Stegostoma tigrinum: one gene and its partners. The protein of the gene in region 1 purifies or fractionates together with the protein of each later gene. This does not show direct contact. Links are inferred from orthologs where the notes say so. Each region holds a gene or a part of one and is shown in the gene's direction. Other genes may lie near its edges.

The links.
Region 2: the proteins of lrrk2 (region 1) and dnm1l purify together in Homo sapiens (co-immunoprecipitation; 6 studies listed by BioGRID and IntAct, with this or other methods). This does not show direct contact. The link is inferred for Stegostoma tigrinum from reciprocal best matches to the Homo sapiens genes LRRK2 and DNM1L.
Region 3: the proteins of lrrk2 (region 1) and myo1b purify together in Homo sapiens (affinity purification with mass spectrometry; 3 studies listed by BioGRID and IntAct, with this or other methods). This does not show direct contact. The link is inferred for Stegostoma tigrinum from reciprocal best matches to the Homo sapiens genes LRRK2 and MYO1B.
Region 4: the proteins of lrrk2 (region 1) and prdx3 purify together in Homo sapiens (co-immunoprecipitation; 3 studies listed by BioGRID and IntAct, with this or other methods). This does not show direct contact. The link is inferred for Stegostoma tigrinum from reciprocal best matches to the Homo sapiens genes LRRK2 and PRDX3.

Annotation. Positions count from the first base shown.
Region 1 is NC_081378.1:38,590,805-38,598,149, reverse strand, and holds the start of lrrk2 (leucine-rich repeat serine/threonine-protein kinase 2), read left to right. Parts: upstream 1-4,323; 5' UTR 4,324-4,703; coding exon 4,704-4,839; intron 4,840-4,941; coding exon 4,942-5,027; intron 5,028-7,345. UniProt on the Homo sapiens protein: Serine/threonine-protein kinase which phosphorylates a broad range of proteins involved in multiple processes such as neuronal plasticity, innate immunity, autophagy, and vesicle trafficking.
Region 2 is NC_081371.1:18,785,521-18,793,499, forward strand, and holds the start of dnm1l (dynamin-1-like protein), read left to right. Parts: upstream 1-4,967; 5' UTR 4,968-5,088; coding exon 5,089-5,190; intron 5,191-7,717; exon of another isoform or gene 7,718-7,786; coding exon of another isoform or gene 7,787-7,792; intron 7,793-7,979. UniProt on the Homo sapiens protein: Functions in mitochondrial and peroxisomal division.
Region 3 is NC_081360.1:35,473,993-35,481,069, reverse strand, and holds the start of myo1b (unconventional myosin-Ib), read left to right. Parts: upstream 1-4,065; 5' UTR 4,066-4,200; intron 4,201-7,077. UniProt on the Homo sapiens protein: Motor protein that may participate in process critical to neuronal development and function such as cell migration, neurite outgrowth and vesicular transport.
Region 4 is NC_081373.1:25,473,568-25,481,007, reverse strand, and holds the start of prdx3 (thioredoxin-dependent peroxide reductase, mitochondrial), read left to right. Parts: upstream 1-4,428; 5' UTR 4,429-4,521; coding exon 4,522-4,542; intron 4,543-6,183; coding exon 6,184-6,307; intron 6,308-7,440. Other genes in the region: U6 snRNA-associated Sm-like protein LSm1, read right to left, coding at 4,248-4,341. UniProt on the Homo sapiens protein: Thiol-specific peroxidase that catalyzes the reduction of hydrogen peroxide and organic hydroperoxides to water and alcohols, respectively. Plays a role in cell protection against oxidative stress by detoxifying peroxides.

The DNA of each region.
Region 1 (7,345 bases):
AAGAAACCTAATGGATCTTTTCATTTAAAACCTAAAATAGATATGTTTAATTGGCCATCTCAGTAACTGAGAATTTCTTTTATGTTGAGACTGTGTAGTGGGACCAGAATGACAGTGTCCTCCTTCAGCCTTGGTTATAATAGTGCTGGGATGGGAAGGTCAAATTTGGGTTTTCCCACCCAGAACTTAATTTGTGCAAATTCGAAAAGGGTTCCACCAACTTCCATAATTAATTTCACGTGTGGCTTTGGGGCCTGCCACCTCTTGGCCTGGAACTTCAGCTTGAGAAAGATTCACTCATCATGAAATTCCACTCTCACTGAACACCTAGTTTTAGTTTTTAAACTCTTGTTCACAAATACTCTACATGACCACTTTATTAATGCCGTAAATCTTAACTCTGACCAATCTAAAAGCATTTTTTCTTCCACATGTTTGTATGCACTGTTAGTTCTAATCCATTGGTGCTGACCTACATTTCAAATTATCTCTCACCGGTTGATCCCTAAGCACAGGTTTCCTATTTTCAACATCAGCATTGTTTCAAATGCACTCAATGACTTTGACTCTGGGCAAATCCTATTATCTTTCTCCAATTCAGAAATATCTCCCGCAGATATATTCACGCGGGGCAGTCCTTCTTTCCATGAAGTCCCAAATACTGCAGTGCAGACACATAAGTTGCTCTACCATAACTTAGTCTGCACTCCTAACAATGTTTAATTCGTGGTATACATGAACTCACACGAAACATTAAAGGACTGGACAAAATTTGGAGTTACTTAATGTTAAGATATTTAAGCCACAGAAATAGTACAGTCATTGCTTCCTTTCCTGGTTCTCAATTTTAATAACGCCCCCTAGTGACGTTTCATGCTCTTATTGAAGGTTTTTGTTTATACATGATTGGCACTTCAGATTGATCACAAGCATTTCCACTTTAGTATTGATTTATTTGGTTACTATTACACAACATTATACAAGTAAAGGAAGCAATAACACTTGTTCCAGAGGTGAACAATAATACCTCTAACATGTTGGTTAGAAACTATCTACAATTTACAGAAAACTATTACACACCATGTTACCCAGAAATCATGGACATGATTTACAGCTCTCCTTTGTTTATTATTCATTTGTGAATAAACTTGTTAAGTATTATGTCTTGCTTTAAAAAAATAACAATTTTTTTCTATAGAAAGTGAGTTTGGGGAATTGATAATGAAAAATAAAGAGATGGTAGATGAATTGAACAGGTATTTTATAATGAATGTTCACTGTAGAGGATGCAAGTAATATTCTGGAAGATTTATAAGTCAAGAAATGCAAGAGAGGGAGGAATTCAGTAAAATTATGATTACAATTAAGTTTTGGAGCTGCAAGCTGACAAGTTCCTGGATCCTAATAGATTTCATCGTATGGTTCTAAAAAAGTGGTTGGTGAGATAATTGATGCATTGGTTTCAATTCTCTAAAACTCTCTAGATTTAGGGAAGGTCCTATTAGATTAGAAGATAACTCATGTAATTGTTTATTTCATAACGGGAGGGAGTCAGAAAGCAGGAAATTACAGACAAGATGCCTCATTATCACGTGATTCCTTGCCCCAATGTGATATTCCCCTACTGGACAATGATGAGTTGCAGGCCTACAATGGGCATTAGAGACAGGATAGCACTGATTTAGAGAGGTTGTTCAGACAAGATGTATCTTGGGACAGATGAATTATATGGCATGATGGTTAAACAGCACCTAGGTTGAGAGAATGGGGTTGTATGTGTGAGGGTGTATCAGACATGCTGGCTATGTGCCTTGGCCAGCATGACTTTGTGCCTGCTATGCCATTATATACGTGCCAGTGAGGAGTACTTGCCAAATCTTGACTAGCTGCATTGCAGCCTTTCAAAAATAGCATGCTCACAAGGAATGCTGGTTCTTCCGCCATATGGATGACATTCTAATTCACTGATTCACTGCAACTGAATGTGATGGAAGAGTGAAAGCAATATTTAAATACATTTTCATTCATGATGAGTTGGTCCAAGAGAAGTGTGTGGTAGGATGGGGTTGAAATTGGACCTAAGGGATGCCATAGAACACAATAGGTAATTAAAAAGGTGAGTTTGTTCAGACACAATGAGGGTACTTCTTACATTTTGCAGCGAATAACCTTCCAAAATCTTGCACAGCCCTGACACAGCCAAAAACAAAATCAGCCCATGTTATTCAAATAGTGAGAGATTGCAGAGCTCTGATATGCAGAGGGATCTGTGTGTCCTACTGCATGACCTACAGAAGGTTAGTATGCAGGTACAGCAAGTAATTAAGAAATTTAATGGAATGTTATAATTTATTCCATTCACTTACACATGACATTGGTGGAACCATATCTGGAGTCCTGTATATAGAATTGGTTACTTTATTTATGGAACGCGGTAGAATGCGTTGGAAGCAGATCAAAAAAGGTTTACCTAATACTTGGAACAGGCAGACAGGTTGTCTTATGAGTAAAGGTTGGACAAGTTAAGCTTGCATCAACTGGAGCTTAGACCAGTAAGAAGCAACTTAATTGAAACATGTAAGATTCTGGGGGGTCTTGATAGAGTAGATGTGGAGAAGATGCTGCCTTAAACAGGAGAATCTAGGCCAAGGGAGTCACTATTTAAAAATAAAGGCTTGCCCCTTTAAAATAGAGATGAGGTAAAAAAAATTTCTCAACAGGGTTGTGAGTATTTGGACATTTTACCCCAAAAGGCAATGAATTTTTAAGACAGAGGTGGCTTAATTCTTGTAGGAAATGAGGTGAAAGTTTATCAGGCTTTGGCAGTAATATGAATGTGAGGTTATAAACAGATCAGTTATGACATCATTAATAAATTATAGAACAGGCTCAAAAGGGCATGCAGCCTGCTCCTATGCATAAGTTTATCACGCAGTTTGTGAGACACTGTTTTAATCATCTACCCTTAGCACTATATCAATTCCAGAGATTGATCCAGAAAATTATTGACACCATAGAAGTATTAAAAAGGGTTAACTGTCATAGGGATGACATTCTAATTCACCGATCCACTTCATCGGAACATGATGGAAGAGTGACAGTGATATTTAAATACATTTTGATTCATATTCTTCATGCAACAGGCATTAAGTCTGACCCACAGAAGGTTACAGCCATCAATGCTGTCCCACCACTTTGAAATACTGTGGAATTGCAGCAAATCATAGGAATGGTTAACCAGGAAGGGACTTTTCTTTTACCAAATCTGGCAAAAGGAAATGAACTACTATAATAATTGCTTAGACAGAATCAAGCATGGTTAAATATGAAAGCCAGAGGTTGGTGATGGCTTCTTATTGCGTTGTCACTTTCAGTGTTTCTAGCAATCCATCCACTCCCAAATACACATGCTCTTCCATGTTGAAACTTCCACCAGCTTTCAAGATTCTATTTTCACTTCTTCACATTGCTTACAATCAGATGGTGGGTTACTATGCATTGTATTTGAAGTTTTAGCAAAGATTCATGTATACATTATGTGCTAATTCAGGCTGGGCTGGTGGACCTGATGGAGGGATTGAATAGATTGGGACGACTGTTTTGCATTTTTTTCATATTTGAGGATTTTGATATTTCTGTAGGAGGCTTGTAGAATTCCTATACGATTTTAGCATGTGTATCTGACACCTAGCTCTGATTGGTTGAGTTTTATATTCCTTTCTCAATATAGTTATTTTATCAACGAATTTATAACTTTTTTTCTCTTCTTGGAGAATAAATGAATTATTAAAGAAAGTAGGAAATCATATTTGTATAATGCCTTTCATGACCTTAGGTTTTCATAATGTGCTTTCTGGTCAATAAAACACTTTTTACAAAAGTAGTCATGAGGATATATGACATGTATTGGTAATCTATCAGGAGCAATGTTAATAGAAGAATGAACGCTGACCATGCAATAGGGCAGAACGCCCCCTTATTTTGAAATAATTCCCGGGGATCTTTTGGATGTAACTGAGAGGTTCCATATATCAACGTTTCATTATGGCAAGATTACACGTCTGGAATTTTAGCCTCAATCTGGATTATATGCTCAAACCAAGATTTGTACATTTCAGAAGCTTTATCAAAAATGTTTTGTTTGAATAAGTGTAGTGGCAGCGGGAGCCTGACAGAATGACCACTGAGTTTTCAGCATGACGGTTCCTTCCTTTGTCAGGCATTAACAAAAATAACTTTGTATAACTAGTTGAGGGTCGACTCATGATAGCGGGCTGGATGGCAAATTGCCAAATGTGCTTTGGGGCTGCGGCCAAGGGAGTGTCTTCCCTGCAGTTTTTGTCGGTCTGGCCTAGAGGTCGGCTTTGGACTTCTCAAAAACACTAATACCGACTTAATCTTTAGAAACAAGTGAGGCTGAACTTTCGCTGAAAAAGAAGTCATAGAAGGGCACACTCAACGTTACTGACAGCAGCACCCGGGTGATGAAGCAAAGTTACTTTTGGAAACTCCCCGCGGACTGAAACTTCCGTAACTCATTTCTGATTTTTCACTTTGAACGGCCAGTATTGCAGTCATACTGTGACCACTGCTGACGAAGTAACCGACGGGTTAAAGACTGGTCGTTCTCACAAGCCAACCAGATATTTATTTTTCTACGATCAAACATGAAAAGCGGTCAAAATTAGAACAGTCGATTAACCATGGCGGACTCGGAACCACTGGAGGGAAACCTGAAAAAGTTAATCGTTCGTCTCCAAAATGTCGAGCAAGGAAAAGAAATCAGCACTTTGCTTCAGATTTTAGACGACTTGATTCTCCTCACTACTGTTCAAAATGGTAAGTAATCGTCTAAGAAATTATATGTTTCAAAAATCCGTTATCGGAAGACGGGATGGACACATTTTGACATAAAGTGCTGATTGTTTACATCTTAAACAGCTTCGATTTTATTCGGAAATAAAAATGTCCACATGCCGTTATTGGTGGCTCTCGAATCGTTCACCGAAATTGCCAGTATCCAACAGGTAGGCTGTTTATTTACGTCTGGTTCTATGACTGCAACGAGTCGTGCAGATTGATAGTTTTATTTTCGTCCTGACTTGTCACCAGCCAAGTTCAATATAGGAGTGTTAAAGGAATCCATACTATTTGTTTTTGCAGTCCAACTGAAGGAAAAGTTTTATGAAAACGGTTGGCATGTATTGATTTCCAGAACTTAAGCGACCTGAATCAGCTGGTCACTTGTGCATGCCGCTGGGACAAGAGTGACGCACGCCCCTTCCTCACTCCTCAACTTGTTTAAAAAGTTAATTGCCAAATACTTTCTCTGAACATCATGTGCCTCTCATTGGAACTTTCCCCTTACTAAAATATTCTGGACTCAACTACATTTTAAGTACATAAGTCACTGTTACTCCTCTACTGAGACAGGATCTGAGAATACTTAAATAGACTTGTCAGCTATATTGCAAATACCCTATATCGAACAACACTTGAACAGCACAACATTGGCCTTTTGCAGGCCTTTGTGAGAACTCTGCATATGTGACAACACAGATAGCAATGTTAAATTAGTTTAGCCGCTATAAAACTTTTCCCAGTTGGGTTGGTCCGCTGGCTGCTTGATGCGGTTCAGTTGACAGGAACGCAATAAAAATTCAAAAAACTATCACTGTTTATTATTTTTAAGAAAGAAGGTTAGTTGAGAACTCAATAATTTGAGGCTATCTCTAACTTTATCCTCGACTTCTACCCTTGCATGTGAAAGCACTGGTGGAGATTTAGTCAAGGACTTATTGTGGGACTGGAACCACATATGGTCCAAACCGCATATTGTTTCCTTTTCTAAAAGGACTTTGTGACCCAGCTGGGTTTTATATAAGAGATAATGGGAACTGCAGATGCTGGAGAATCCAAGATAACATGGTGTAGAGCTGGATGAACACAGCAGGCCAAGCAGCATCCTAGGAGCAGGAAAGCTGACATTTCAGGCCTAGACCCCCGAAACGTCAGCTTTCCTGCTCCTAAGATGCTGCTTGGCCTGCTGTGTACATCCAGCTCTACACCTTGTTATCTTGGGTTTTTATATAAATCTGCTAAAGTTACAATCATGCCTGTGTGCAAATACCAGAAGATATGAAGTTCAGATTGTTCCTTCCTAGTTTAGGACTTGAATATTGCGGAAAACAAAGTAAAAGCTGCAAAAGATTTTTGAGACACTCCCGAAGACAGCAAGACAAGAACACTCCATTTCAAAATGAATGACAATTTATAATGCACATGAAGAGTTGCTTTTGACTGGTAAATCAACTCTAATTGGTCAAGGTATCCAGAAAATCTTGTTCCCTGACACTTTTGAATTTTTAAAAAAGGAAATGCTTGGACATCTGTTTTCCTGCAAATGAATACGTATCTTTTATCAAGCATACCTGAGCCACATTTTAAGACTGACTCATGATCTTTAAATTGGTTGCTTGCATAATTCTTAGTGCACTCAAGATTGGACAGCATTTACTGAGCAATCACTGGACTACATCCAGCATTAAACATTATCTTCTGATTTCTGCAAGCGCAGGCTAGTTGAATATAGGTGGCGCTCTGTTGCAAACATTCCATGGGAGGTGCTGGAATTTCTGCTGGGAGTTCAACATTGCTGTACACAGTAAAATTGGTCCATTCAGGAATCTTGTATATGGACCCTAAACCATTTGTTCAAGCTTGAGGTCAAAGTAGGATGCATCAAACCAACCTGTGGAATAATAGCTATTCTGTCATTGCTCGCTGTGTAATGCACAAACTTAAGTGTAGGTCTAGTGCTATCACTTTGCGACCTGAAACATGACAGTCTAACTCAAAGTACCTGAAAAGGATAATGATTCTCAAATACTTGAGCACCATTTCACTCTCCTGCTTATGCACTTGAACTATGAATGGTGTTTTGACCACGATGCTGTAATCAAGCCAAAGACTCTGGTGAATCATGTAATATATACACTTTGGCACCCTGATGATGCCTGGTAAGAAAGTTGTACGTCCTGGCAACTACCAGATTTTGCCAAGCAGGATCTGAATGTAATATGCCATCTGAAAGGTAAAAAGGTAAAGGTAAAGTCTCCATTGTCTTTATCAGTCCATATGATTGCTCGTGATGAGAGAGAGATGACTGGTGATGGTTTAACCTGAGGGTCACCACGCCTCAGAAAAGTTGAGAAGGAGAAACCTTTACACACCTGAAAGGTAGCTGCTATTAAGCAAAAAACCTTAAATATCTTTCCACATTTACCATATATTAAATAAGCTTTCTCAACTCTTTTTGAATTTTAGAAATAAAAAGGCTATTAGT
Region 2 (7,979 bases), on another chromosome or scaffold:
AGAAAAAAGAGAGAGCAGTGTGAACTGCAAAATCATCAAACTGTCATGTTTCAGAAGGGCCATATAGTTGGCAAGTGCAGGCCAATCAGCTTAACCTCAGTGGTGGGAAAACCTTTTGAAACAATAATTCAAGACAAAACTAAGTCATTTTGACAAAGAGAAAGGAAAGGTAGAATTAATTTTTTAAAAGGAAATTATTTTTTAACCAAGTTGGTTAAGATCTTTGACGGTAATGTGGTAGATGTTCTATGTATCAACTTCCCAAAGAATTCCAAATAACTGCCACAGAACAGGCATATCAGCAAAGTTACTGCACATTAATTAAGAGGGGTAATGGTCGTGTAGGTATAAAATAACTGAGTGACAGTTGCTTTTCAGACTGGACGTGAACTGAGGTTTTTCAGGAGTCTTAGAATCACTGCTTTTCTAGATCTGTATCAATAACTTTGCCTTTGGATATAGGGTACAGATGACAGAAGATTTAGAAGCATTGCGGACAATTGACTGAAAAGTATGAAGTGATACATTTTGATAAGGGGATTGAGAAGATAAAGGGTATAAAGGTACGGATGCAGACAGATTTAAGACTAAAGGAAAAAAACAAATAAGAATTCGGTCCCTTGACCTTGCTTTGTCAGTAACTAGGTTCATGGCTGATCTGATATTCCTCACATCCACTTTCCTGCCCTTTTCCCCAAACCCATCATTCCCAACTGATCAAATATACATAAGGACTCTGCCCTGCAGCTTTCTACGGGCAAGGAGTTCCAAAGACTTAAGTCCTTAGAAGAAACCTCTCCTCGTCTCAATTTTAAATTGCCCTCTCCTTTATTTTAAGCCCATGCCCTCTGGTCCGAGACTTTCTCAAGAGGGGAAGAATCCTCTCAGCATTTACCCTGTCGAATCCCTTAAGAATTCCCTATGTTTCAAATGAAGTCACTTCTCATTCTTCTAAATTCCAATGAATAGAATCCCAACCTGTTTAACCTTTACGTATAGTACAATCCCTCCATAGCAGGGACTATCCAAGTGAAGCTTATCTAAACTGCCTGCAATAAAATAATATCATTCCTTAAATAAAGGGACCAAAACTGCACGTAGTACTCCAGATGCAGTGTTGGCAGTTCCTTGCACAGTTGCAGTAAGACTTCCCTACTCTTTGATTCACAATTCCTTGAAATAAGGCCCAGCATTTCATTAGCCTTCCTGATTACCTGCTGAACTGATATGCTAGCTTTCAGTATTTTATGCATCTGTACCCCAAGTTCTTTTGTGTTCTAGCTTTCTGCAGTTTTTCTCCATTTAAATAATACTGTTCTTCTGTTCTCTCCAAAACTAAACGACTACTGCATTTGCCAACTTTCTTAAACATATCAATATCTTTCTGTAGACAGTTTTTATCCTCCTCGCAACTTGCTATTCCACCTATTCTTGTGTCACTGGCAGATTGGCTACAGTACACTTCCAAGTCATTAATATTAGATTGTAAGAAGTTGGGTCCCTGTACTGATCTTTGTGGAACTCCACTGGTTATGGGCCGCAAACTTGAAAAAGAATTTCTTATCGCCATTCACCATTTCCTTCCATTAATCAGTTCTCTATACATAAGAATATACTGTCTCTAATACCACGGGTTCTTATGACATAGTTGTCATTATATGTGTACAAATCATTGATGATGGCAGGTAGTGTTGAGGGAAACGATTAACAAGACAAATGGAACTAGTATGGTCAACAATTTTCCAAGGTCTAGCCAACTCCCAAAGTGAATTATTATTTATTTTCTTCACCCTGAGTAAGATCTTGAGCTTTATAAATTGCAGGCTTCTGTATAAAAGCAAACCCTGGTTGACTGTCAACAATAATATGTCTAATTGTGGGCATACTTTAGAAACAATCTGAAGGTATTGGAGAGGATGCAGAAGAGATTACAAGAACAGTTCCATAGTGAAGGCCTTCTACGAAATGGATAGATTGGAGAAGTTGGGATGGTCCTCCTTGGAGAACGCTGGCTGGAAATGTGATAAAGTTTGTTCCTATCCCGGTTGAGACTGAATTTCTTTTTACAAAAATTTGAACAACCAGTTATGAGCTGAGGAAATGGCATGTTCAGGCTTCATGTTTTAAGACATTTATTGCAATAAATTACTAAAAACTATTAACTGAACACTATCATTGGAAGCAATTATACTTTAAACCAGAGAACAGAATATCTCCTTTTGTATTCTTGGCACACCTGAAGAAACACAGTTTCCAGCTATACTTACATTTTACTTAGCATGGATATTCATTTTCTCCCACTATCGATCCAGGATGATTCTTGGATAAAGAGGTTTTATTCTTGTTTTCTTTTCTTAACCTGGTGTCTTCTTATCGTAGAACTGTCTTGTACTGTGAGGTGAGGTTTCCTTTCCCTGGAGATCATCCCTCTAGCCTAATCCCGGTAACATTTCCAGTCTCAAAATTAACTCCCGATGAATTTAACCTACTCATTCGTAAATGCTGTTTTTCACAGCATTGTTGTACGCTGAACCACAGAAATTGATTTCATATCCAGCTTCTTCCTGGCCTGCTAGACAAACTCAGACAGGTCACAGATCTTTGTTTTATCTGAAACTAAAAAAAGACTAATTCCAAAACACTTCTTCATTGTAATTGGAAAATAAAGGAAGGTATTCAAAATCATTAGGCGTTTGGATAGAGTAGATTAAAAAATATTGCTATTTGCAGAAGTGACAATAACTGGAAGGCACTGATTTAAGGAGACAAACAATGGAAATAAAAATACATGAAAAACATTCTTACATTAGATTACTGGCTGAGTGTGGTAAGGACAGATTCAAATGTGATTTGATGAGAAAAGTATTTACAGACTATGGTGAAAGGAATTGTGTAGCAGATGGAAGGGAATGTTCCCAGGTTGATATTACAGAAAGTCACATACATGAAGGGCTGAATAGCCTCTTATATTGTAACAGTTTCCCAGCTTGTGAGCGCTGCCTCAGTAAAATACACCCCAATGCACACTTTTTGCTCTGGGAAGGTAGATACAGGAGTGAGTTGGGAGTAAAGACCCTTGAGACAGTATTGGTGGTCACAGAAGTGGGAAAACTTAGAGGCATGCTGGTTAGAGAGCCTATCTAATTTCTCTGGGAACTCTAATGTTAGAAATATACTGCATTGGAGAATCTTTCCTGCTATTTTAGTGTAGAATCGAAGTAGTAAATTGATACATATACTACATTCCTTTGAGGACATAAGTAAAATTTGTAAAAATTCTTAAGGAGTTTGGTAGGATAGATATTTGGAAAATAGTTTCTTTGGCTAGTGAATCTACCAAAAGCTGCTGTTCCTGTAACCATGTAAAAATGTCAGTCAGACATCAACACTTCACATCCTAATCTTGCCCAAATAAATATTGAAAGATTTACAAAAGAGATCACAAACAGAACAACTAATAGCTCATTTAAGATGTCAATCAAGTGGTCAATAATTCACTTGAGTTATCAAAACAGAACCCTTTGCTGAGTTAATATTTTTATTGTAGTGCATTCCCGGCTATCGTTACGTCGGTCAATGAACACAGGAGTAATAGGCAAATTGACAGTGGCATTGGTACAATGATAGCGAATCTTTAATTTTCTTGTGTGAGAAGCACAGAGAGAGGCTGGACAGGTGATCATTGGAATAAACAGGTCTGAAAAGTCTCAAAGTACAGATGAGAGTTTCAGCAGTAGATGGGCTGAGGCAGTGTTGGAATTGGTTGGCTTGAAGATGAAAATAGGTAGTGTTAGCATAGAACAGAAGCTCATCTGTTTCAAATATGACATCAATGCTTCACTTGTCTGGTTCAGTCTTAGATGTTTGCTAGAGAGAAGTGAAATTGGAACGGTAGAATGGTGTTGTAGATGGAAGTGAAACCTATATAACTGGAGGAAATTTCTGCTCATCCAGTACTTGATGTCAAACAGGTTGAGACAGGTGGTAATGAAGCAGAGCTCTGTCATAAATATATATGTGGAACCTGACATTGTTTACAGAGAATGTCACCTAGGGTCAGCGCGTAGATATAAAATAAGATGGCCCAGAATAGATCCTTGGATCCTTGATACCTAGGTATCAGTTTGTCATATTAATTTATTGCTTTGGCTGGGTAGATAAGGATGTAAATAGGCTACTGTAGTTCCATCCAGCTCAATGACAGAAATTAGAGGTGGATGTGTAGTCAACATGTTAAAGCCTACAAACAAGTATGAGGAAATGAGGAAGGTAATTTTGCTATTGTCATTTGTTTCTTCCAGTTCTATCTCTTTATCTTACAGTGGTGAACTGTTTCTCAATCTACATTCTCTAGCATTAACTTTTGCAATTATCTGTTCACATTGTCTTCTGTTTGTGTTTATGGAGACTTTCCTGTCTCTTGAGGATGCAGGTCATTTCCTCTCTGTTCTACCTCCTCCATACTAAAAAGCGAAACGGCCTAGATTACATTAGTTGGAAACAAAACCAAAACTTTTCAAATTAGTTTCTTTACTCACTTTATTCCCTTTAAATACCATGTAATTTTCAAAGTTTCAAATTCTAATTTCAAATGTATCTATTCCATCTTGAGCAGAAGGCACATTTTTGGTATTAAAAAGTCTTCACTTCAAGTAGATTTTTCTTGAGTATATCATTGATATATTACAGAAACATTTATAAATTAAGGTTTGCATTTTCCTTATTTATGCAGTATGACAGGTAGAAGGCGTTAACTAAAAGTATACAGTGTACAAATACAGATTCACAAGCAAAATAGCCTACATCCTAGCAAGTTTGAAGAGTTACCGAAGGAGTTGACGGGGATTGTAGTCTAAGGCTTTGTTACTGAGGTTTGCTGTTTGGGGAAGTGAACTACAATTCCCAGAGAGCAGTACGCGACCATTTCGGCGGCCCGGTACTGCAAGGGCTTTGCGCGTGCGCGTTGATTGGCGTCGGCGGCGAGCCCAGGAGGCGGACAGATCCTTCCCCCAACCCGTGGGCAGGCAATGGTGACAGTTTGAAGTGGGGCAACGGTCAGTCAGTGCGCTCTGCTATCACTGCGGTGCGATGGAGGCGCTGATTCCCGTCATTAACAAGCTGCAGGAGGTGTTTAACACGGTCGGGGCCGATATCATCCAGTTGCCGCAAATCGTGGTGGTGGGGACACAGGTATGGAGGCCGAGGATCGAAAGTTGGGGCCGCGGCTGTCGGCGGGTTTGGGGAGACTGTGAGGGAGACCAATAGCTGTCACTCATTCACACTATCTGCTTCATTGGGGAGTTAAAATCGTAAGGGATTTATCCAGAGTCTTCATTTCGACTAGTTTAAGTATTTCCGCCGCCATATTTTTCTTTCAATTTCAGATTTTCAAATAGCGTTTTGTCTTCTATTTGAAATTTTTAAGTGTCTTTGTAAGATAGCTGTGCAAAACAATCCACGGCCCCTGCAGGGGAAGTGAACAAATGTAGGAACGGATACTGAAACCATGTTGCACAGTTCAGGAGAGGTCACTGAAGGTTGTTTGAGTTTTGAGGAGCTTTCCAAAGTAAGGGGGTAGTCAGGGAGTATCAGGCGCCAGAGTGGAGGTGGATGAGGTTTCTGCTGTAGTGAGAGAAATGAAGGAAAAGATCAGGTCATATTTAGAGGTCGTAAGATTGAATCGTATTGTAGAAATACAGAGGGGAAGTAAAATTCATGGAGGTTTCTCACTGGCGACAAGGAAGCCAGAGTATGTTAGTGAAGACAGGATGATTGATGGAGCAGTGTGGGACAGAAGACAGGCAGCTGGGATTCAACCACTTGGGAGTTTGTGGCATGTGACGATGGATGATGGGAGAAGGGACACTAGAACAATCTCATTTGATGGTGACAGAAGGGTCGATAAGGGAGTGAGTGGAGGAGAGCTGAGAAAATGCTGGAAATGGGCAATGTTGCGTGACTGTAAGTGTGATGACTTTTATACTTCAGAACTATGGTTCAAAATCAAAGAGGCAGCCAAACCAGGTTTCTCTCAGAGGGTTGTCAGCCTGTGGAATTCTCTTCCCAGAAGGTAAAGGAGGCTGTGTCATTGAATGTATTGATGAATGATTTTTGATAGATAAGGCAGTCAAGGTTTATGGTGGGCAGTCAGGAAAGTCAGATCACAACCAGGTCAGTCATGATGATTTGAATGGCCTACTCCTGCATCAAACTCTTGTGTTCCCATATTCTGTTTCCCAAAGATGGGATTTGAATCACTAGTGAGGAAACTGTTTATGACAGGAGCCAATTTGTTTTTTTCATTTGAATAATTGATTCATTTAAGATTAAATTTCAATGAAAAGGGAAATTACAAAGAGATAAATGGTTCCTTACGTGTAAGATATTTTATCACAGCATGGTATTTGTAAGAGAGATGACAGCTTGAAGCATAGATCTTTTGGGAACTTGAAATGAGAGGGGAGATAGTGTTTTTGTTATTTATTCCCCCAGATATGAGCAATGCTGCCAAAACAGCATTTATTACTAAACCCTAGTTGTTTTGCTACTTGTGTCTTGCCTTTCAGCAAGTCCTGTTACCCCTCACCCTTAAACTTGCTGACTGACATTGCTGCCTGTCAAGTTATGACTTGATTCTAAAATTCTCACCTTTTGTTTCAAATACCTTCTCCCTCTGCCTAAAACCCTGCGAAATGTCTCTGTTTCTTTAATTCTGGCCTGTGTTCTGATTCATGATCTTAATTGATCCTATTTAGTAGGACATTTAGATAATCCTAATTCAGTCAAACAGAGTCAGTATGATTTTATGAAAGGCAACGTGCATTTGTCAAACTTATTAGAGCGCATGGATGATGTCAGAACATGGTGGGTACAGAAAAATAGCGAGTCAGGATGAATGGGTCACTTTCAAGTCGTGAATAGTAGCTCGTGGGTTTCCCGGGAATAACTGTTGGAGCCTGAACTATGTATAGTCTGTGCTAATTGCATGAAGAAACCAACTGTGTTGAAGCCAGATTTACTGTTTATGTAAAGAAGGAAAGCAAGTTATGAGGAGGTTACAAATGGTAACAAAGGTATATAGATAGGTTAAGTGAGTGTCAAAACAAATGGCATATGGTATGTTCCGTGACAAAATACTAGGTTGTCCGCTTTGGCAAGAAGAATAGAAAGTCAGAATATTATTAGAAATGGAGACACTACAGAATGCTGCAGTACGGAGGATTCTAGGTACTCTTGTATCTAAATAACAAAACATTAATATGCAGGCACAGCAAATAATTAGGAAAGAAATGGAATGTTGACCTTTTGCAAGGGGATGTCTTCCTACAGTTGTTCTGAGCATTGACCAAACCACATCTGGAGTATTGTAAGCAGTCTTGGTCTCTTCATGTAAGGATGAGTAAATCTGCATTTGGAGTTGTACAGAGGATGTTCACAAGGTTGATTCTGGGAATTAGGATTTGTCTTCAAGACTGAGAACATTGGGAAGGTGGGCCTGAACTCGTTAGCGTTTAGAACAATGAGAGATAATTATAATTTGAAAGGTATAAGATTCTGATGGGGCTTCATAGGGTAGATTCTGGGACGATGTTTTCTTACATGGAACAACATGGAATTAGGAGACACAATTCAAAAATGAGGAGTCTCTCATTTAAGACTGAAATTAGGACAAATTTCTTCTCAGAGGGCATTTGGTCTTTGGAATTCTCTTCCATAGAGAGCAGTGGACACTGGGTCATTGGATGAATTCAGAGCTCGGTTTTGATTGGCAAGGGCATCGCAGGATATGCAGGTAAGGCAAGAAAGTGGGGTTAAGATGTAATCAGATCAACAATGATTTTATTAAATGGCAGAACAGGCATGATGGGCCAAATGACCTACACTTACTCCGATTTATATTGTGAAACTTTGCTTGATAACACTTAATTACATTAATGATAGTATATGAATGCACATTGCATTCACTTACAATATTAGTG
Region 3 (7,077 bases), on another chromosome or scaffold:
GTGTGCAATAAGTGGTAGAATTCTGAGAAATGTAGAGGAATAGCGAGATTTTGGGAATGCATGGCTTCAGATCTTTGAAAGTAATTGGAAAGAACACAAAATGATAAAGCAGGTATGCAGAATACTTCCTTTTATTGCCTGAGGCTTGGAGTAAAAGAGCATTTAGGGGATTATCAGTGATAGTAGGCACTGCTGATGATTGAGTCTGAGATAACAAGATGTAGACCTGGATGAACACAGCAGGCCAGGCAGCATCAGAGGAGCAGAAAAGCTGATGTTTCGGGTCTGGGCCCTTCTTCAGAAATGGGGGAGGAGAAGGGGGCTGTGAAATAAATAGAGAGAGGAAGAGGCAAAGGTGGATAGAGGAGCAGATCGTTGTGGAATTGGAGGAGGACCAGAATCAACATGTTGTCCAAGGAGTGGGAGGGGACTCTGTCTTGGAGACCGCTTTGTGGAGCACCTACGCTCAGTTTGTGACAAACAACAACACCTCCCAGTGGCAAACCACTTCAACTCCTCCTCCCACTCCTTGGGTGACATGTCCACACTGGGCCTCCTCCAGTGCCACAACGATGCGACCCGAAGACTGGAGGAACAGCACCTCATATTCCACTTGGGAGCCCTGCAACCCGATGGTCTCAATGTGGACTTCACAAGCTTCAAAATCTCCCCACCCCCTACCTCATCCCAAGACCAGCCCATCTCATCCCCACCTCCTTGACCTGTCCATCTTTTCTCCCATCTATCTGCACCTCCCACCTCACTGACCAATGCCCACCCCTACTTCCTACCTATTAGCCTCATCCCTGCCTCCTTGTCTTCTCTCCCTCTTCATTGACCGACCCCCATCCCAACTCCTTACCTACACTCACCTTTACTGGCTTCATCCCGCCTCCTTGGCTTGTCCATCTCCTCTCCACGTATTTGCTCCTCTTTCCACCTTCAAGCATCACCTCCCCTTTTCTCTATTTATTTCAGGGCCCCCTTCCCCTCTCCCATTTCTGAAGAAGGGTCCAGACCGGAAACGTCAGCTTTCCTGCTCCTCTGATGCTGCCTGGTCTGCTGTGTTCATCCAGCTCTAGACCTTGTTATTTCTCCCTACAGCTCACCATACAGTTCAATAAGGAACTGCCACCTCTCCCTCAAAAGCAGTTATGGATGCCAACAAATGCTGGCCCAGCCAGCGACTCCCTCCAGTGAACAAGAAAAAACCATATCTCCTTAAAACATGGATTAGATTTCAGCTGTATTTGGGCCATCATTCTGCCCACCATATTGCAGGAAAGGTATGACATTGTTAGAGATGGTTTGGAAGAGAATGACAAGAATGTTGCCAGGAATGGAGAATTCTGACAAAAAGGAAAACATTGATATTATTTTTAAGTGAACATTTTTTGGGATCAGATAAGGCTGAGGGAAGGTTCAGTTGAAGAGTATACAATTACAGTGAGATTTCAATAGAATGCATAGGAAAAATCTGCAGATTTAGCAAAGCGGTCAATAAGTAGGAGGGTTAGATTGTTAATGACAAAGTAATTGGTGAAAGAATTAGGGTTGGGGAGAATTTTTTTTCACTCAGAAGGCCTTGAACTCACCACCTGAAAGGGTGCCAGAGACAAAATTCTCCTTGTGTTTAAAAAATGGTCTGAAAAGAAATTGAGGTGCCATGTGTAACCTACAGGACTACAGTCCAAGTGTTGTAGGCGGAATTAATTTTGACAGCTCTTTAACAACAAGTACAGGTTTAATGGGTAAAATGCCTCTTCTGTCATTCATCTTTCTGTATTCTAAGAGTATTTGTTAATTAAAAATTGAAGTGTGCCAGTTTAAACAATACAGATTACATCTCAGGATTTTCTATATATTTTCCTTCGAATTTAATGACTCTGTAGGTTTTCACAATCAGAAGTTGAATGATGTTGTCCCAAGGAATCCCAAGCAACTTAGTTGGAGGCCAAGGGAGTTTCCTATAAATATTACTGTAGGACACTGAGTGATTTTACAGTTCCCTAATATTCCTTTGGTTCAGTGAACCAATTGGTCTCTTACTCTCTTTTGTTTGCAAATCTCAGTCAGTTTGGTGATACTGATGTTAAAACTGGCCTTCCTCCAGTTAGTAGATGGAAGATGAGAAAACAGATTGGGTTCCAGCTTCCATGTTCTGTATTGTCAAGACGAGAGCAAGTTGTGATGCACTTCAGGAGCAAACTGCCGATTGTCATTTACGGTGGAGACTCAGAAACAGACAAAATTTTGGAAAGCATGCCGTCCTTCAGAATTGTTTGTGAAAGAAAAGAAACAAAGGGGAAATATTGACCTAAAAAATGTCCAAAGGGCTCGTGAATATATTTATATTTAGGTATAGAAAAAGACTTCAATTTATATAACGCTATTTGGCAAAGTGTTTTAAAGCTAAGTAAGCATATTTGAAGTGTGATAATAAAATGTGAGGCTGGATGAACACAGCAGGCCAAGCAGCATCTTGAAGTGTAGTCACTTGTGTTGCAACTGATGAATAACACAGCAAATTTGTGTACAGCAAGCTCTCATAAAAAGCTTTGTCGATAATGGCCAGATGATCTGTTTCAATAATGGTAAATGAGTGATTAATATCAGCCAGAACTCCAGGGATAAAACCTCTACTCCTCTTCAGTACAATACAATGGAATCAGAGAGAAGATGGAGTATCAGATCAATGGTCCAGATATTTTGATCACAGTTGGAAACATTATTTCTATCCCTGCTCGGATTTAAAATTACCCGCTGATCCTCCGATAGCTTCTGCCTTGGAGATTTTTCGACAGGAGTATCCTGTTAGGGGAAGTATCGATGAATCCAGCAGCGAAAACGATCTTCATAGAAACCATACCAACTTTTGCAGCAGTCAGTGCGCTGTATTCTGTCATTACAAAAAAACTCCAGCAGCACCGCTACCTTTACAGCTCCTCTGGAAAGGTAGGGGTGGGTTATGGTGACAGTTGGCGAAAGGGTTAGGGTGCAAGGTAAGTGATGAAGTTCCAGAAGGAAATGGCAAGGAGGTGGGCATGCACAGGAATAGTGAGCTTGCCTGGGAATGTCAGGCGAGCAGGTGTGACGGGGAGAAAAGCGTGTGAGGGAGGTGTTATTGAGTCCTAATGCCATAGTTTGAGAGTGAAGGGTGTTTGATCAACAGGTTCCGTTTGGGGAAGGGGGCGTGTAGGGATTGGGGGTTGTCAGGATCTGGGAGGAGCGGGTGAGGCGAGGATTGTAAGAAGTTGGGAGTGGGATAGTTGTGGGGGAAGGTGAACAGTGAGTTAGGCATTCAGTTGAATAATTACTCAGGAGTTTGAATCCTCCAACTTTTCCTTGGTAACTATTAGGGTCACTGAGTTGGAACCCTCTACATTCTTTGCATTTAACGGACTTTTTCCCGAGGGTTGCCAAATGCCGGAACATTGCCCATCAGAAAATTCAACTTCCCGCTCAACTCTCACTGTGTCTGGCTTACACACAGTCCAACGCGCTAACTCCAGGCTGCATTGCTCTAACGTCAATCTGCCCATCACAAAATCTGGGCCGGTCTGCTTCTCCTAAGGACTGCACCTCTGTCAGCGCAGCATTACCTGACAATCCACAGGTTTTTTTCGTGTGTGTGCGCGCCTTAGTCATAGCTATAGTCATAGACACGAACTCCGAGAATTCACCCAGATGGATAATGGCGGGGGTGGGGGTCCCCGCATTAATGTTTCTCCCTCTGATCTCATTCACTGAAGTGGCAAAAGTATAAATGCCGTTATAAACCCGAAAGGGATTTCTGCTATTTAAATCGCCAGACTGGGGTCGCAGATCTCTCAAGCCTTGCATCCAGCTTATCTCTTCACCAGGAACATCCTGCTCCTTGTGCCGCCTCTGCAGCCCCTTCCCTCTCTCTGCCCCCGGCTATAGTAGCCTGCCCTCACCTGGTGCCGCTGGTGCGTGGTGCTGGAGCAAGAGGCGGGGAGAGCAACAGCAGAAGGTGATTAGCATAGAGCCTGAGTGAGACACACCCCGCCCGAGGCTGGGACTGACACAGAGGGAGGGGAGAGCACGCTTCACTAGGTCTGGGGTTAGTTAGACAGGGAGAGAGCCGAGCAGCGGGAGCACCGTCAGGCTTTGTCCTCTTTTAGCTTGTGCACAAAGGACAGAGAAGGATTCGGAGTTGCACACAGTTTCACACTGAAGGTAACGCTCTACCCCCCCCCCCCCCCCCCCACCACCACGGTTTCTCTCCAATGCAAAGAAAGCCGGGTTCGAGAGGGCGAAACCCCGAGCCAGAGCTCTTTTAAGATGTAGCGGGGTTTTGGAATCTCGGCTATGAAACTGAATGGGGATGGTGAAGTCGCGTGTTTGAAGTGAACGTTTCACTGGAGTAGGGTCCGAGTTTCAACCGAAATTAACTTATGCCCTGGGATAAAAGAAGCTGGTCCGGCTGCCTAGCTGTTTCTTAAACAAAACCGTCCCCTTGACCCAAACAAAGGCAACTAAACAGCTTTACAAACACAAAATACAGCTGTAGGTCGGAAATAGAGAGGATGCTAGAGAATGAGCGGCTCTCTGATTTATCTGGAGTGTGTGAGGTGGAGTTTGGGGTTCTGTCCTCACCCCCTCTCGCTGTGAGTGCCTTTGCACGGGCAGTTTAGTGGCTGTAGAGGAGGGTGGCAGTATCTTTCTCTTGGTGCTGCGTGTTGTCTCCAGGCCGGCAGATGGACACCCGCGGTCTGTATTGTCATGTTGTTCACTCAAAAGGCAGGCAGAGTTCCGCGTGAGAGCTGCTCTTAACCCTCGGCTATTGGGTGAAATCTGTAATAACTGCTCAATGAAAAGGCTAAGCAGTGTCCGCGCCACTGCAGTAATGTGATTCAGATGTGATTGAAACCAGATGATTTCTGGTGTGTGTGTGTGTCTCTCTCCCCCCCCCCCCCCTCCCCAGTTTAATCTTTCTGATGTCTGTGGTATTGAGTAGTCCGTTGAGCGGAAACTGCCATGATTTTGTTGTTCGCCCTCTTTAGCTTTCACTTATTTTGTTTTTGTTTCTCCACGCTCCACTGACTCTCTGGTTTGCTCTTGATCTCCAAACGTGCCCGTTTCTGCCGGATTCCGCCTTGACTGAGTGGTCAAGCTCCCAGCGCCCTTGTTGGTTTTACGTTCTGCGAATAGTAAATACCCTGACACTGCAAGATGCGTGTGTGGCCATATGAGCAGGCGACACTTAACCTGGTTTCCCAGCACCTAGTCTGCACAGTACTGACAGCGTGTTTTGAGAAGTTTTGGTGTGGCGGTGTAATCAGTAAAAGTCTTCGACGTTTCACTGATTATTTGCGGACTTGCAGAAATCTGTTTAAAGAGCTAAGATATAAAAGGAAGTAACTCCCACCCCTTAAACGAGACGTGTTTTTGAAACGCCTGACACGGAAGTATAGAGATTGCACTGTGAAGTCTTCGGCAGCAGGTAAAGGTCAGAGTGTGATGTCTGGCTAACTCCCATGCGCTGTGTATTTTTAACTGCAGAAGTGTCCAGGCCGATGATAGCCAATCCTGAATACAGAAACAGTTCTTGGCTTTCTGCAAATTAATTAGATGTTTAACCACAGTGCCAGCTCCCTGGAAAGTGCCACTCCCTGCGTGCACGTTGAATCAGCGAAATGTATTGCTAAGTCAAGATAAAGGGACAGAATTTATACATCCCAGAAAGCAAATGAAGCAGAATAGTACTGGAGCCAATGTTTATGCACTTTTACAAACACTTACAGATTTACGTGCCACAAGCAAGCACCTCGTAACTCAACCACAGTTTCAGTTTCTGTCTATTTACAGAGGCACAGTGAATTCCCAGCTAATACGCATCATCGGCGCACAGCTAAAAGCATTTAATATATATTTCTGCAAGTGGCTACTAACTTTTAAAATTTTACTCATGGGACTTTATTGCCCGTTTTTAGTTGCCCTTTAGAAGGTGGTGGTGAGCTTCCTTCTGGAACTGCTGCAATCTACATGGTGTAAGTAGGTCCAAAATGCCTTTGGGGAGGAATTCCAGGATCTAGACCCAGTGACGCTGAAGGAATGGAGATATAGTTTGAGGTCAGGATGGTGAGTGGTTTGGAGGGGAATTTGGAGGTGGTGGCATCCCCATGTATCTGTTATATTTGTCCGTCTAGATGGGAGTGATCCTGTGTTTGGAAGGTGCTGTTTTAAGGAACTTCAGTGAATTTCTGCAGTGCATCTTGTAGAAAATTCATACAGTACAGTTGCTACTGAGCATTGGTGGTGGAGGGAGTGGATGCGGTACCAATCAAACGGGCTGCTTTGTCCCGGATGGTGTCAAGCTGAGTGTTGGAGCTGCATCCATTCAGGCAAATGGGGAGTATTGCATCGCACTCTTGACTTGTGCTTTGTAGATGATGAACAGGCTTTGGGATTCAGGAGGTTAGTTACTTGCTGCAGTATTCTTAGCCTCTGACCTACACTTGTTGTCACTGTTTATATGACAAGTCCAATTGAGTTTTTGGCCTGTCACAACTCGATGTTGACAGTGGGGGATTCGTTGATACTAACACCATTGAATGTCAAGGAGTGGTGACGGTCTGTCTTTGGAGATGGTAATTGCCTGGCATTTGTCTGATGTGAATGTCACTTGCCATTTGTCAGCCCAAACCTGGACATTGTCCAGATCTTGTTGCGTTCGAACGCAAGCTGCTTCAGAACTGAAGAGTCATGAGTAGTGCTGAACATCCCAACTTCTGAGCTAATGATAGAGGGAAGGTAATTGAGGAAGAAGCTGAAGATGGTTGGGCCTAGGACACTTCCCTGAGGCACTCCTGCAGAGATGTCCTGGAGCTTAGGTGACTGACTTCAACAATTACAATCATTTTCCTATGTGCCAGATATGACTCCAACCAACAGAGAATTTGCCCTCGATACACATTGATTCCAGTTTTGCTAGGGCTCCTTGCTTCCACACTCAGTTGAAATTAGCCTTGATGTAAAGGGCTGTCACTCTCACCTCACCTCTACAGTTCAGATATTTTGTCCATATTTGGGTCAAGGCTGTAATGAGTGGAA
Region 4 (7,440 bases), on another chromosome or scaffold:
TTCCACACAGAGGGTAATGCATGTATGGAATGAGCTGCCATACGTATGCAGGGAAGAGTCAACTGGGCATTGCAAAGCACACGTTTAGTGCTGGGCAGAGTTGGATTAGCCAGAATTTGTTTTAAATCACTTGTGGATGATGGATAGTAGAAGGTGTAACCAATCTCTGCCTATGTAGGAAAAAGACAACAGCCAAGCCAGGCAAAGATAACAAAATGTAGAGCTGGATGAACACAGCAGGCCAAGCAGCATCTCAGGAGCACACTGCCATCTTGCAAGTAGCAGTCAGACATAGCAAACAATAATTGTGCCAATCAGCTGAAGGAACAACTGGATAAGGTATGGCAATATTTACAGCATAAATTCTGTTATAATGATCATTATCAGCTAAATCTGACAGATTATGCATATGACTAATTATGCTTTGTTCCAAAACAGAAAGTTTTTAGATGTGAGGAGTTTTTACAAAATAAACCCAGAGAAACACAAGAAAGTACAGTACAAACTAACAAATGAAATGATTGAGTATGTGTCAAAAGTGGTGTGAACTGGCGGGGAGGAATCCTATCCCTACTATACTATTATCATATCATTAAAGTCATTTCTCACACAAAATCTCTTTCTCAGAAGGTGTACTTTAGCAGTAGATCACTAAAAGTGCGATGTGAATAAAGCAAATGAGAAGAAGCATCCTGTTTCTTCTTAATGTTGGCTGAACTGCCATTTTACAAATGAGTTTTGAATCTTTTGCATCTTTGGACTGAAAAGAGTATTGACTTCCAAAGTTTCCTCTATTCATGCACTAAATTGTGTTCAGATTTGGACCATGGGGTATGGCAAAACCCTCTCTAACTTTGTTTAGTTTTAGCTTCAGACTTAAAGGCAGTGAATGCATTTTGATGGTATTGGTGGTGGAAGACAATAACAGCTCTGACGTTCAATAATATTCTTTGCTCAAACACACACTCTCATCTACTTTATATGTATATAGGAACTTTAGTTTTAAACTCTTGGACAAGCGATGTCCTAAGGTATTATCCCTGAACTGTTAATTGAGAGACCCAGGTAATGTTCTGGGGACCTTTGAATCCTGCCATGGTAGATGGTGGAATTTGAATTCAATTTTAAAAGAATCTGGAATTAAGAGTACAATGACGTCCATGAATCCATTGCTAATTGTTGGGAAAAAAGCTCACCTGATTCACTAATGTCCATTAGGGATGGAAACTGCTATCCTTACATGATCTGGCCAACATGTGACTCCAGACCCACAGCAATGTGGTTGACTCTTGACTGCCTTCTGGGCAATTACAGATGGGCAATAATTGCTGGTCTTACCAGCGATGCCTTCATCCCACGAATGAATGAAAAATAAGCAACAGATGTTACTGCATAACGACTTGAGGCTTATTTGTCTATTCACAGAATTTGCAGTCTGTAAGTTCCTTTCATGTGGGAGCAAAGACAAGTATCCTTTCAAATCCTGGAAACCAGTCTTAGTACTACAAATAGTTTGAAAAATCATTATTCCCACGTATGATGCAGTTACCAAAGTTTAGTGTATCCTTCGTTTATTTAAAATTGCTTTCCAACACGACCATCAGGTCTGGAAAGAAAGACAATACCACCTCATCCAATATCAAATAACTAAAGAATTAATCTAAAATTTACATGAGAAAAACAGCCCTCTTCTTTGAGGAAGATTTACAAGACATGGACTTATTAAAAAATAAACACTTGATATTTAAAGTTCTGTTTTAAAAAGTCATTCTTTAAAAGCAAAAGTGAAACTATTAGAAATACTAAAAGGGGTCACTGGAGCAATACTCGCAGTTTCTAGTGCTGTAAATCAAAATATACACATATAGATGTTATAAATTCCATAATATTTTCCTTCATAAGACATATATTTCTCAATTATTTTAAGTTTCATTTGACATTGAATATTTATATGTCATGATATTCATAGTGGTGCAACAATTTTAATGGCAAACAACGATGAAATACATTACTATTTTCAATTGATATGGTGGTCTGTTAATTTTACAGAATCAAACATATGTAGAAATTCAGCAAAAGGAAATTTTGACAACATTTATAATATACAAATTCTTAAAAATAATTTCAAAATAACATTATGCACTGGTTGTTGTCTTGGTTGTTTTACATTTCATGTGGGAAATTAGTCTCAGGAGCACTGATGTCTAGCCCTGTATATATTTATACTTCCTACAATTATTACAATTAAATATGAACACAGCCCAATGGCATATTCATAAATTTAAACTCATGTGTAGTTTACTGTAGATCATTGGGTACATTGTGGAGATAATAGAAAAGATATCTACACCTGGCTCCACACAACTTAAGTATACACCCTTCTGTGTTACAGTTGATTTAATTGCTTGATGCTGACAGTAGGTGTAAAAGACTAACATGTTCCATTCCATGAATTGACATAATGGGCAATAATTTAACCAGGTAATATAGCTCATTAGTTTTCAGTGTCTGTATATACTTGCTCACACGAGTTCTACAATATGCAATGCATTTTGATATTTCCTGAATAAGATGTAAACAATTTTTTCCCTTTATTTTAATTTACATATACTAGATCTATTAGTTCTCCTTTATTCATATTGTACCATTTTCAGAAAACGCCAATAAGCTTGTGAAATACAATTTTCCAATCACAAATTCATCCGGACCATGCCCAACCAAGTAATTATCAACTAGTGTTTATTTATCCCATTGTTTATACTAGATTCTAGCATTTTCCTGACTACTGATGTAAGGTTAAAGGGTATGTACTTCCCTGTTTTCTCTCTGTCCCTTAAATAGTGGGATGACTTTCAATACTTTCCAAACTTGCAGCAATCTTTACAGAATCTACAGAATTTTGGAATAAAACCATCAATGCAATGACTACCTCTATAACCATTTCCTTCAACACTCTGTGATGTAGTGTTTCATGTCCTGGCCATTTATCAACTTTAGAATCCATTATTTCTCAAGTACAATCTTCATACTAACTCTAAATTCTTTCAACTTATCATTCTCAGTCACTAGGATCGCTACTTCTGAGAGATTTCTGGTAAGTTCACAGAGAAACAGACAAAATTTTATCATTTAGCTTCTCTCTCATTTCTCTATTTCCCAGTATAAATTCTTCCAACTGTGCCTGTAAAGAACCTATATTTATTTCAGCCAAATGTTTACATTTTAAACACTTTTAAAAGATTTTACAGATCTTCTTTGATTTTAGTGATGCAATGTGAGTATATTCCCTTATTGTCAATGTCCTCGAGCAAACTGACTATAGATTGACATGATAATTGAGTGTCCATTGTGAGTATATTCCCTACCAAATTATGCAAATAGATTGGTTATAACTCGATGTGACAATATTTGAGAATACTGTGAGAATGACACCATATTCCATTCTTGTCAATGTTGCTTATCAGAATCACTTCAGCACATTGTGGTAATTGAGTCTATTCCCCAAATGTGAATGCCCCATATCAGACTGACTATATCTCGACATGATGATGATAATGATAATAATTGAGTCTACAGTGTGAGAATATTGCCTTACTATCATTGTTCTCAGACAGAATACAGCTCAACATGACAATAATTGAGTCTATTCCCTTACTTTCAAATGTCCTCCATCAGATTGACTACAGTTTGACATGATGATAATTGAGTGTATTACCTAACTATAAAGGTCCTCTACGAAAGTGATTCCAGCTCAACATAATGATAATTGTGTATTTTCCTTTACTATCAATGTCCTCTATCAGACCAACTGTAGATCAACATGATAATTGAGTATTTTCCATTCCTGTCAACATCCTCTATCAGACTGACCACAGCCTGTCATGACAGTAATTGAATATATTCCCTTACTGACAATGTAACTCTCTCAGATTGGCGACTGCTTGAACTGATGACAATTGAGCACAGGTAGTGAGAGTACACTCCCTTGCTGCCAATAGCCTCTTTCACACTGACTACAACTCTACATGATGACAATTGAGCATCATGCCCTTACCATCAATGTCCTCTATCAGACTGCCTACAGCCAGGCATAACAATAAATGTGTATATTCTCTTACTGTTAACGTCCTGCACCAGACTGACTACAGCTGAACGTAATGAAAATTAAATACACTTCTTTACTACCGACACCCCACATGAGGTTGGCTACAACTCGCCGATGATAAATATTTAATACATTCCCTTACTGTCAATGTCCTCTATCAGGCTAGCTGTCCCTGGCATGTAGTTCATCTTGCTCCTCCGGAAATTGCGCGCATTTGGTGACATCACATCCGGCATGGACTGTGGGCGGGGTCCTGGCGCTGTTTAATTTTGTTTGTTTTATTTCTATGTTATTTAACACGGGCTTTGCGTGTTGTTTTCGGAGCATTGAATTCGGTGTGTTTTTTGATAACTGATGGTCATTTTTAACAGCGGCCCAGCGTTCCCCCTGGAGGGGGCGGGGCTGTGGACACTAAGATGGCGGCGACTGTGACTCGGGTGTGTGAAGGGGAATTCTCTCCATTTCTTTGTGTCGCGGTCGTAGTGAATACTCGTTATATCTGAAATGTGGCTTTCTTTCCCTCTCCCACCTCCCCCAAATGGCGTTGTTCGTCAGTACCGGGTGCCTCGTCAATGTTTGCTGGACAGCCTGTGGCCATTTGCCGCTCTCTAGATGTCCCAGTGAACCATACCTTTAGATGCACGAAATGTCTACTTGCCCCCTTTTCCCTCTCTGAAGAGACTTGGAGTTTGTGTTTTTAACCCCGTCCCGTGTGGTGACTGCTTTACCCCAATCACGTGGCGATATGGCTCCACGTTTTTGCTGGAGCAGCATCAGGAGGCCACAGTTTTTAACTGACAATCTGTCTGCTGGTCTTCAATTCCTGCAGCCAGTTGGCGAAGGTCACCTTTCTTCCCCCCCCCCCCCCCCCACTTCTTCTCTCTCCACCCCCCCCCACTTCTTCTCTCTCCACCCCCCCCCCACTTCTTCTCTCTCCAACCCCCCCCACTTCTTCTCTCTCCACCCCCCCCCCCCCACTTCTTCTCTCTCCACCCCCCCCCACTTCTTCTCTCTCCACCCCCCCCCACTTCTTCCCTCTCCACCCCCCCCACTTCTTCTCTCTCTCCACCCCCCCCCACTTCTTCTCTCTCTCCACCCCCCCCCCCCACTTCTTCTCTCTCTCCACCCCCCCCCACTTCTTCTCTCTCTCCACCCCCCCCCCACTTCTTCTCTCTCCACCCCCCCCACTTCTTCTCTCTCCACCCCCCCCACTTCTTCTCTCCCCCCCCCCCCCCACTTCTTCTCTCCCCCCCCCACCACTTCTCTCTCCCCCCCCCCACCACTTCTCTCTCCCCCCCCCCACCACTTCTCTCTCCCCCCCCCCACCACTTCTCTCTCCCCCCCCCCACCACTTCTCTCTCCCCCCCCCCCACCACTTCTCTCTCCCCCCCCCCCACCACTTCTCTCTCCCCCCCCCCACCACTTCTCTCTCCCCCCCCCCCACCACTTCTCTCTCCCCCCCCCACCACTTCTCTCTCCCCCCCCCACCACTTCTCTCTCCCCCCCCCACCACTTCTCTCTCCCCCCCCCACCACTTCTCTCTCCCCCCCCCCACCACTTCTCTCTCCCCCCCCCCACCACTTCTCTCTCCCCCCCCCCACCACTTCTCTCTCCCCCCCCCCACCACTTCTCTCTCCCCCCCCCACCACTTCTCTCTCTCCCCCCCCCCCACCACTTCTCTCTCTCCCCCCCCCCCACCACTTCTCTCTCCCCCCCCCCACCACTTCTCTCTCCCCCCCCCCCCACCACTTCTCTCTCTCCCCCCCCCCCACCACTTCTCTCTCCTCCCCCCCCCCACCACTTCTCTCTCCCCCCCCCACTTCTCTTTCTCTCTTCCCCCCCCCCCCCCCCCCCCCCCTCCCCCCCAACCTCCTTAACACATTTTTGTTTTGTTAAATTGAAAGATATAAAGCGATCTGAATTTCTGATTATTTCACTTAATTTGTTTGGGGAGCCACACTACTATCAATTTATGGTTTTACTTCTCTTACGTCTGCAAGAAACATAAATTTAACATTCGTCCAAGCGTAGTTCACTTGGAGTGATCTTGTATCTTCTCCGTTTCTGTTGATTTGCAGCTTTCTCGTGCATGCTTATACGCCAGGGGAGTTTCTGCGGCTCTCCGACTGCACTGCAGACACAAAAATGCAGCAAACTGGCGGAGTTCAACCTCTCTAAGTCATAAGTGCAACTTCAGTACAAGTAAGTACTCTGGGAAGCTGATGTGTTCTAAACGACCTCATAACCAGTTTGAGCAAAAACCATTAACATCTCCTACCTACTAACCTCATCCCACCTCCTTGACCTGTCCGTCTTCCCTGGACTGAGCTATCCCCTCCCTACCTCCCCACCTGTATTCTCCTGTCCACCTATCTTCTTTTCTCTCCATCTTCGGTCCACCTCCCCCTCTCTCCCTATTTATTCCAGAACCCTCACCCCATCCCCCTCTCTGATGAAGGGTCTAGGCCCGAAACGTCAGCTTTTGTGCTCCTGAGATGCTGCTGGGCCTGCTGTGTTCACCCAACCTCACATTTCATTATCAACAGATAGAGCCTTTCGCCCGACAGTGCGGCGTTAGAAGCTGACTGATTTTTATAGCTAAACCTGCCACTAGTAATAACTTGCCTGTTAAATTTAACATTGCCTAAAACATGTTTTGAGGAGCACTTCTTTTTGGCACTGTTCTAAAATAACATTAAGAAAACATCTTGCTCAGATATTTCAAGTAAGAATTTCAAATTGTTTGATGCAGCAACTGACACTGTCATGATACAAATCTGTATTAGTCCTCTAGATGAGGAATAAAACTGGACAATTTTATCACAAAATGCTAGAAGGTTAGTAACAAAAACAAAATTGCTGGATAAGCCCAGCAGGTCTGGTAGCATCTGTGAAGGAGAAAAAAACAGTCTATGTTTTTGGGTCCAGTGACCTTTCCTCAGAACTTTCAGTTTAGTCAAGAGATAGCAGGAACTGCAGATGCTGGAGAATCTGAGATAACAAGTGTAGAATTGGATGAACCAAGCAGGAAAGCGGGTGTTTCGAGCCTAGACCCTTCTTCAGAAGATTTCTTCCTTCAGTTTAGTCCTCAGGTAAGTCGCTGACTGTGTAAGGCAATCTGACAAGCTGTTGGAGACAATAGTAACTCAAGATTTCTGTCATCAGCCACTCCACGGTGAACTTTTTACGCTTTGAATTGGCATTCCTTTACCATGTAATCTCTCTTTTTTGCCCTTGCAAATACAGATACTCTAAAAGATATCACCTCAATTAATTTCAAATTGCCTATTCAATTGGTCAAAATCTATCAACTTTGTCATTCTACAATCTCCTCT